Linked DNA regions of Mus musculus: region 1 is reported to be linked to region 2. Evidence: microRNA targets listed by miRTarBase, many of them from high-throughput screens and not tested one by one. Region 2 holds a microRNA gene; the other region holds the end of a gene's coding sequence.
Evidence for each region. The annotated mature microRNA mmu-miR-693-3p reads GCAGCUUUCAGAUGUGGCUGUAA and lies in region 2 at 1,914-1,936, opposite strand. An mRNA with a match to its seed (bases 2 to 7 or 8) in the 3' UTR can be bound and repressed. Matches are read on the target gene's strand: a 7mer-m8 pairs with bases 2 to 8, a 7mer-A1 pairs with bases 2 to 7 and ends in A, and an 8mer does both.

Region 1 (4,335 bases), not on the chromosome of region 2:
TGCTAACATTTTAAGCATGCATTTATTTCTATGTTCTTTTCCCCCCACCTATGTTCCCAACAGAATAAGCTTCATGAAGACAGAGACACTAAGTCTGGTGGTACAGGCCTCTAACTCCAGCGCTCAAAAACAGAGGTGAAAGAAATGCCCTAAGTTTGGTACCAGCATAGTGAGACTTTGTGTCAAGAAAAGGAGAAAAGCGAAAACACCTCACAGACAAACAGTAGGTATTAGTTCCTTAAACAGCTGCTAGCACACTGAATGTAACCAGGCTGACAGAATTTATCAAGCAGAGCTTGAGATTTCCAACAAGATCTGATAGGTTATAGATGAGAAAATGAATTGGTTTTTGAAAAACTGTTTCTTTGTAAAAAGAACGTGAATTTCTTTATTAAAACAACAGATAACACAACGTTCGTAAGAATGATGTCCTATCGAGTAAGATCATAAGGAGCATACATGGACACAGCTAATTCAAGCCCACAGGTAGATAATGCTGTGTCTTCACTGTGCCTCAGTTTACCCAACATAAAATAAGGCAACTGCATCAACAGTGCAGTTGGGATTCACCGTGGTAAGATGTGTGAAACACTGCAGCACAGAGCAACAAAGCAATGGTAATAAAAAGGGAGGCAATGATGTTACTGCCACTGGAGTCCAAAACACATTTCCTATCTTTTCAAATAATTCATGGTAAGAATGGGAATTCACTTTCTAAATCTACACAACTTGGGGGGGGGGGGAGCAGACTAAGCAATTGTTCCCAGAAGAGCACCTCAAAAGAGGTGGGGATGAAAAAACTATAATTCTATCCCCAGGTACTTTATTTCAAAACAAAATACAGCACAGTAAAAATGTCCATAAATAATGTGGAATTCTAAAACTAGGCAGATTTGCTTCAAAACAGCTTACATAAACTTTTGGTGTCAGACAGAAGCTTGTATTGTCTTTTGTTATTTGTGAGAAAGGAAGGGTCAGTTTTCTCTAAGAGTATAGCAGCCCTGACAAGCCAGCCACACTCCAGAGGAAGGCCACTCAGCCAGGACTATTTGGCAGCACAACTTGGCCTTGGTGGGATGGAGGGTGAGGGTGAGTGGGGTGGGGTGAGGTAGGGGCTCAAAGTCAGGTGTGAAAGGAGCCTGGGAGGAGTTAGGGGAGGAGTGAGATCAGACCAAGGAGCAGTGTAAATTTTAACCCTTCCACTGCTTTCACAGTGCCCTGCATGGAGACAAAGCCTGAAGTGAACTGAGCAGCCTGAGCAGCCTCTGGGGCTGGAAGGCCTAGCGCTCGTTCGCAGCTGTTTCATGGAATCATCCTTCTCTCACACTCCATGGGGTTCACATCAGTGGGAGCTCTAAGAGGGCAGATACAGAAGCCGCGTCATTACAAACCTGCATTTATTCATTGATCCTGTTTCCTTCTGTCATAGAATAACCCAGCGCCTCTGAGATTAATAAGAAAACCAAATTTTAAAATCAAAAACCACATTCCAAACGTCTTAAAAGATATTTTTTTGTTCAATTCTTTCGTAAAAACATTGGTCACTATTTAACATACAGAGGCAACAGAATGCACCCAGTTTACATGCATCAACAAGTCCATAAATCATAATACACAAACACCATGGATTCTGAACAGACAGGACTACAGCAGCGCACGATGCCGTCCGCTGCAGCTCTAACGCTGATAGAGAACAGCTGCTATGAGAAAGAGGGCAGTCCAGTTTCAGCTGGCATCAGAGTCTCTGTGGTGAAAAACGCTCAACACGGGTGGTATGGAGTCCTTAACTTAAAGGGGCCACCTTCAGAAATCACACTGTGCAAAGTACCATGTTAGGTCAGAGCCAGAGCTCGAGAGAACGAGACTTTAATTTTGTTTGTCTGCTTTTGAAAACGAAGTATCATAATGATTGAAAGCATTTTATTGATTAAATATGATTCAAAAATTTTGACTGAAAATTAGCATGTCTTTCGTGTGAAAGTTACACCTCCCATAAGTGAAGTTTTCAACAAAACTGGCATAATTCTGTTAACAGAAATTCTGGTAATAAGGACGAGGAGCTTTTTCAAGAGAAAGAAAAAAAAAATCAACAATCCAAAGTGCTTTCTAAACTCCAAGACAAGTTTCTGGAGATGGTATTTAATACAAAGAAGAGTTAAGCACCACAATACAGCACTGACAAACAAAGACAGGACATGCCACCGATACACAAGGGAAGGAAAGAGCACTCACATGTCTACACAGAAAGTAAAATGTGCATTCTAGCCTTTCACCTGGAACCTTGTGCTTGCTGTCGTGGGACATGTGAGCAAAGATGAATCTGTCTGCCACCTCAAGTCATGTGATGCTAGCCTGACCAAAGGAGAATATTACTTGTGTATATGAGAATTTGATGTTTTTTACTTTTATGCTATCTTTCCTTAAATTCTATGATAAATGGACAGGACAAAGTGCAAAGAAAACAATATATGACATGCTTTCTTATGGAAAAGAAATTTTCTTTAAAAGGAGCCCAAAGTAATTATGTGCAAACAAAACTCCAAAATAAGATTTAGAAAGCATAGTCACGTGAAGTTCATCTTTTCCATCTACTTAGGAAACATGAATAATTTTAATTCCCCAAGGATTAAATTCTAACTTCAGTTTCTCTCTTCCACATGTCCAATTATTCTGCTACATATAACTTTTTAACATGTAGAGCAAATGAGATAAAGGGGGGGGGCAGTTCAGCAATTAAAGCTCGGGATTCTCAGGACGGTGTTCAGGTCAGACACAGGACACAGCTGTCACACACACACACACACACACACACACACACACACAGCTTTCACCAACTGTGTGCATAACCACCACGAAAGAAGAAAACCATCCACCAAAGGGAGAAAGGACCTCTCCTTGTGTTACAGACTAGGTAGCAAACTAGAAAATACATGTTGTTTCTAAAATATTCATCCAGAAAAAAGTCACAAAGCAAGATCTAATGAGATTAGGATTAAGCATGGGATATTTTGGCTCCTTCCGTTCCATGAGACAATGACAACACATCAGGGGAAACTCTTTCCAAAGCCATAGAACTGATGCTTCCTGAACCTTCCCGGCAGCACTGGAACTTTATCATCCACCCCACACAACCTCCTTGAAAATTTCCATTTTCTATAAAAAAAAAATTATTTTAGCCTAATTTCCAAATGTCATTATAAATTTCTTAGTTTTCCCTACTCTCTTAATCCCTATTTTAAGAGACCGGACATATCCAAGCACTGCCTTTCTCTCACAAACCAGAATTCACTGTGTGATTGTTCAAAGTTGGGAAATTAAAGGTAAAGAGCCAATCAGAGATAAGTACACTTGTTAGCATGTATGGTTTGTGTAAAAGGGAGGCCAGAGAATTGTTCCATCCGATTAACCTCTGGCTCTTAACACAGCATGGCTCAAAATTAAAGTGAATCAGACATACTTAAAACACTGCTTCATTTTGGATAGATGTGAAAGGTTAAAAATTGAATGAATTTATATGATTGTAAATGTTCACTGTGAATTAACACAGAAGTAATACCACCAGACAGGGAGTTAAAATGTTAACTGATATTAAACATCTTAAATAATTTGGAGAAACCGCAGCATTGATATAACCATAGGAAAAATAAAAATAAAACCATAAATAGGTATTCCCGTGCATGTTATGTAACAAATATGCAAACCCAAGTCAGAACAGTACAGTACAGTACAGTATCAGTGACTGAAAGTTAAATAATATCTTGATACACAGAGAAGGAAAAGATGACATGTCGACTGCCATTGATGGAAAGCATCAACAATTTACATAAAATGATACTAAGTAAGTTTAAAAAGATGTCTTAAGAAGACCAAGCCACAATAAGTTAGTGTTTCCATAGTACATGCTGAGTTATTTGATCCCGTATCTATACACTGCTACTGTCTTCACTGCTAACTGTGGGGACAGTATAGTTAATGATGAGGTACATTAGTTTACATCTTCTTATAGGTGTTCTAAGGTGATTAATTTGTTGTTTCCAGTTTCTCATCCTCTTCACTTCCTCCAAAGAAAATCAACGGGAACATTCCTAGAATGCAGCCGATCGTCACCCCAACAGCCTTGCCCTACGGAAACAGAAGAGAGTACTTCTTAAAATTACATGTCCCGAAAAGAGGTATCCTTGCTTACAGACTGATGACAACAGCCCACTGCCATACACTATGTAATTCCCACTACAACTGTATTCCTATTGATTACAGAAACCTACGTATTAAAATAAGCTACCAAATGTTCAAGAACACGTCATTTTAAAATTTAAAGGAACAGAAGAAAAAAAA
Region 2 (4,393 bases):
AAATAAAGACCAAACTGCACTCAGCACAATTTACAGTATTTTGCTTTCTGAAACAAAATTCTCTCTGAACTTTGGGATGGTGGTAATACTATAAAATAATGTCTGATATAATTACTTGAATGAATTTAAACTTGACTCTAAGCAAATGAGCCATAATTTCTCTCCCCCCTCTTTTTTTTTTAAAGAAGAGGAGGTTTTGGGGCTGTCTCGCTAGTTCAGTGGTTAAAAACACTGGCTGTTCTTCCAGAGGACCTGGGTCCACTTCCTAGCACCCACATGGCAGCTCACAACTGTCTGTGACTCCAGTTCCAGGGGATCTGACAATTTCACACAGGTATACATGCAGTAAAAACACCAATGCACAAAAAAAAGGACAAGGTCTTGAACTTGTAGACCAAACTGGCCGTGACCCCACAGATACCAGCCTGACTAGTATTAAAGGCATGTGAAACAAGCCCATTTGTTTTGGGTTTTTCTGAGACAATATTTTGTGCCCAAGAGTCTCCTGCTTTAGCCCCAAGTGATCTGATTATATGTGCTGGAAATGGCTTTGCAGTATACCTGCCTGCTGTTTTTACTTTTAATTAAATGTGATCATAAAAACAAACAAACAAACAAATACCCTAGGCTGGGTATGGTGACGGTTGGGAAGTAGACGGTCACAGTGAGTTAAAGACCAGCCTGGGTGCTCACTTCGGCAGCACATATACTAAAATTGGAACAATACAGAGAAGATTAGCATGGCCCCTGTGCAAGGATGACACACAAATTCGTGAAGCGTTCCATATTTTTAGGAAGACCAACGTGTGGATACTTCATTCCTCCCTAGAATACGGAATAAAATATCCATGGAAGGAGTTGCAGAGACAAAGTTTGGAGCTAAGACAAAAGGATGGACCATCCAGAGACTGCCCCACCCAGGAGTCTACCCCATAATCAGCCACCAAACGCAGACACTACTGCATATGCCAGCAAGATTTTGCTGAAAAGATTCTGATATAGCTGTCTCCTGTGAGGCTAGGCCAGTGCCTGGCAAATACAGAAGTGGATGTTCACAGTCATCTATAGGATGGAACACAGGGCTCCCAATATAGGAGCTAGAGAAAGTTCTCAAGAGCTGAAGGGGTCTGCAACCTTATAGGTGGGACAAAAATATGAACTAATCAGTACCCCCAGAGCTCATGTCTTTAGCTGCATATGTAGCAGAAGATGGCCTAGTCTGCTATCATTGAGAAGAGAGGCCCCTTGGTCTAGCAAACTTTACATGCCCCAGTACAGGGGAACGCCAAGGCCAAGAAGTGGGAGTAAGTGGGTAGGGGAGCAGGGAGGGGGGAGGGTATAGAGGACTTTTGGGATAGCATTTGAAGTGTAAATGAAGAAAATATCTAATAAAAAAAAGTGGGGGGAAAAAAACAGAATAAATTGACCTCTGTGACAATAACACAAAGTAATAAATGTCTGTAAACATGCAAAAAAAACCAAAAACAAAAAAACCCAAAAAACCAACCAAACAAACAAACAAAAAACCAGCCTGGATTACCAAGAATAAAATCTACTAGCCCAAAACATAATTAAAAACAGAAAAGGGGAGATGGCTTAGAGAGCAAAATGCTTGCTATGCCAGCAGTGCTGAGTGTACAGAAATAGACACAATCAAGGATTCTCTGGTCAGCCAGTCTCGCCAAACTTCCAGGTGTAGGTTCAAGTCGAAGACTGTGTCTCAAATAATAAGGCAGAGAATTAACAATGGAGATACCCTGACATCCGTCTCTGGCTTCTGCATGCACCCCTTGTCAGTGCACCCCCGCCCCCAATCTCGCCAAGGGCTGGCGGTACACTGCTTCAAAAGCAACAAAAAGAAAGAACCAAAAACTTTCCATCATTCCTGTATGCCGTTGCTGGGAGCATGCTCATTACAGCCACATCTGAAAGCTGCCCTAGCCAGGAAAACTTTCGGATGTGGCTGTAATGAGCATGCCTACAACTCAGGATTTCTACCCTCCCGTGTATAACCAACAAGAATATGCAAATATCTTACAAGTACACTTTCAAGATCCTGAGAGTAGCTTATTATTAAATTTACTGTATGCGTGTTATCAAAATTCTGTCCAAAAGCCCACCAGGATCAATAAGAAACAGCACAGCCACATAGCAGGACACCACATAGACGGGAAGAAGAAACAGACCCAGCTACACATAACTCATGGCTCCCACACCATGATGTTGAGCAATAGAAGTCAGAGACCAAGGACTGCACGTTTTTTAAATGTTTCACTTCTATAGTTTAAAAGTATCAACAAGCCTAGCCTGAGCACCTCTCATGTGAGCAGGTCAGTTCCTGTGACCTAGGGTGACGCTGCTGACTCTTCCATGTGTACATGAAACTCCCAGGTAGCTTGTTAACATTTACAGTCTGCAGTGCGTCCCTAATTCTGCTTTTTGAGCAAGGGCTCAGGTAGCTGCTGATGCCACAGGTCTCACAGTGAAGGCTGCACAAACTGAGGTGACAGACATCCTGCTCTCCTCTGGCTTGCTGAGCCATCGGATGCTTGGCCTACATGAGTTCAGTCATTGGTGAGAAATTCTACTAGTGCACATGGACACCATCTGGAGAAACACTACTACAGAAACCAACTGTCCCGCTCCCAACAAGCCGTTTCCTTCCTACTAAAAATTTAGACAAAATAACCTTAAAAGTAGGTATAAGCTGTAAGGAAATAAGAGAGGGCTGGGATGTACCTCAGTGGTACACTGTGGCCTCGGATGCACAAGGCCCATGTCAGTCTCCAGCAAACCAACAATAAAAAACTGCGCACACCTTTAATCCCAGCACTGGGGAGGCAGAGGCAGGCCGATCTTGAGTTTGAGGCCAGCCTGGTCTACAGAGTGAGTTCCACGATAGTCAAGGTTACAGAGAGGCCCTGTCTTGAAAACTAAAACAGGATACTACAACACTGTTATGCCTATGGAGAGAGCACACCTCACACAGGGAGGCCAACTGTCCTTAGAAAGATGAGCCTCCCTCTCAAAAGAGTCAGGACCTAATCCCACACCACCAGTGCAATGAGAAAGAGAAGATTAGAAACTTTTGAGATTCTTAAGGCTAAAATAAGGACAAAGACTATCTCTGACTCACCTTACAAGGGCAAGCAAATTGTCGAGAAGTCTGAGGATCTGCTCTGTGCAGGGGTTACGGAAGATGGGATTTCCACTGGGTGTGTAGCCCACCACAAAGCCCCCAGCTTTGGCTTCTTCTAGGTCGGAAGGCCAGCTAGTGCGTCTCATAACCCCCAGGATGCTGTACACACAAAAGCTCATCTAGAGAGAAGAAGGAAAAACACAGCCGGGATAAGGGGAGAGCACTGAGACACACATGCAGGGGGACAGCGCAGTGTCACCGACAGAGACGGGGAAGAAGCCTGTGTCTCCCACCCCAGCGAGACCTCAGTCCTTGTCCTTATGGTCCAGTCCAAGGGAGGTCTTCTCACTGCCGTTTCTCAGGACCCGTGGGAGGAAGCTCTGGAAGCTCCCTTCTCATTAGCATGTCTTTCCAGGGGTTTAATGACCCTGGGGTAGGGGTGGTTTGGATGAGCTCCACCACCAAGTATTTAAACTGCCATTTTTTTTTTTACCTGACCCTCCATCCAGGACTCCACAGCCTGCATCCTAACCCCCAACCCCTCATGCCAGGCTGGTCATGTGTCTTTCACCGTAGTGGCTTATCTGAGCACCGGTGCACTGGAAGGCCTCAGGGTCTCAAGATTTGGCCATCACCTAGGACTTCACATGCCAGCGAGCAATAGCAGGGGGGACTCACCCTGCCACCAAGTCTGACCTACTTCCTCATTACACCTCCAGTCTTCCGAGCTACTTAGGGATCCTTAAAGCCAAAATAATGACTTCATAGAAAAGACCATCTGCTCTGTTGTGAGAACTAACTCAAGAATTCAAGACTAAAGAAGAAAAGAAAGGAGAAGCTTAGGGCAGGAGAGACTCTTGGGTCTCTCAGCAGTACAGACAAAACAAATCTGAGAAACTTGATCAATGAAACACCCTAACTCCTGCCCGTGGCCAGTGAAACTTCCCATTCCCAGGAGAGTCTTACTCGTGCACGGTTCAAGCCACATGGATCCTCCACAGCTGGGTCACAGCTTTTCAGATCAGCACCCACATAGGCAATGAAGGAGTCAATATCTGACAGCGCTCTGAAGGGAGGGGAGGAAGAAAAGTTCTATCATGATCTTTGTTTAGACAGAGATTTACTTTCTTTTCAGCTAAGTGTATGTGCATGTCTGTGTGGGGTATGTATATGAGTACAGGTGACCTCAGAGGCCAAAAGAGACCATGGGTCCCCTGGAGCTTGTTACAAGCGGCTGTGAGCAAGTCAGCCTGG

Region 1: the mRNA of Tmem65 is a reported target of mmu-miR-693-3p. Seed matches in the 3' UTR shown: 7mer-m8 at 2,822-2,828.

The regions. Positions count from the first base shown.
Region 1 is chr15:58,780,889-58,785,223 of GRCm38, forward strand. It overlaps Tmem65 (transmembrane protein 65), which reads right to left. Exons shown (of 7, transcript NM_175212.4): 7 at 1,381-4,122. The coding sequence ends at 4,021. Among named protein-coding and RNA genes, the nearest start is that of Gm41329, 23 kb to the left of the region's middle.
Region 2 is chr17:46,229,124-46,233,516 of GRCm38, reverse strand. It overlaps Mir693 (microRNA 693), which reads right to left and starts at 1,986; the gene lies at 1,898-1,986. Xpo5 (exportin 5) reads right to left here. Exons shown (of 32, transcript NM_028198.3): 19 at 4,106-4,205; 20 at 3,137-3,318. Gm22474 (a small nuclear RNA gene) reads left to right here and starts at 686; the gene lies at 686-792.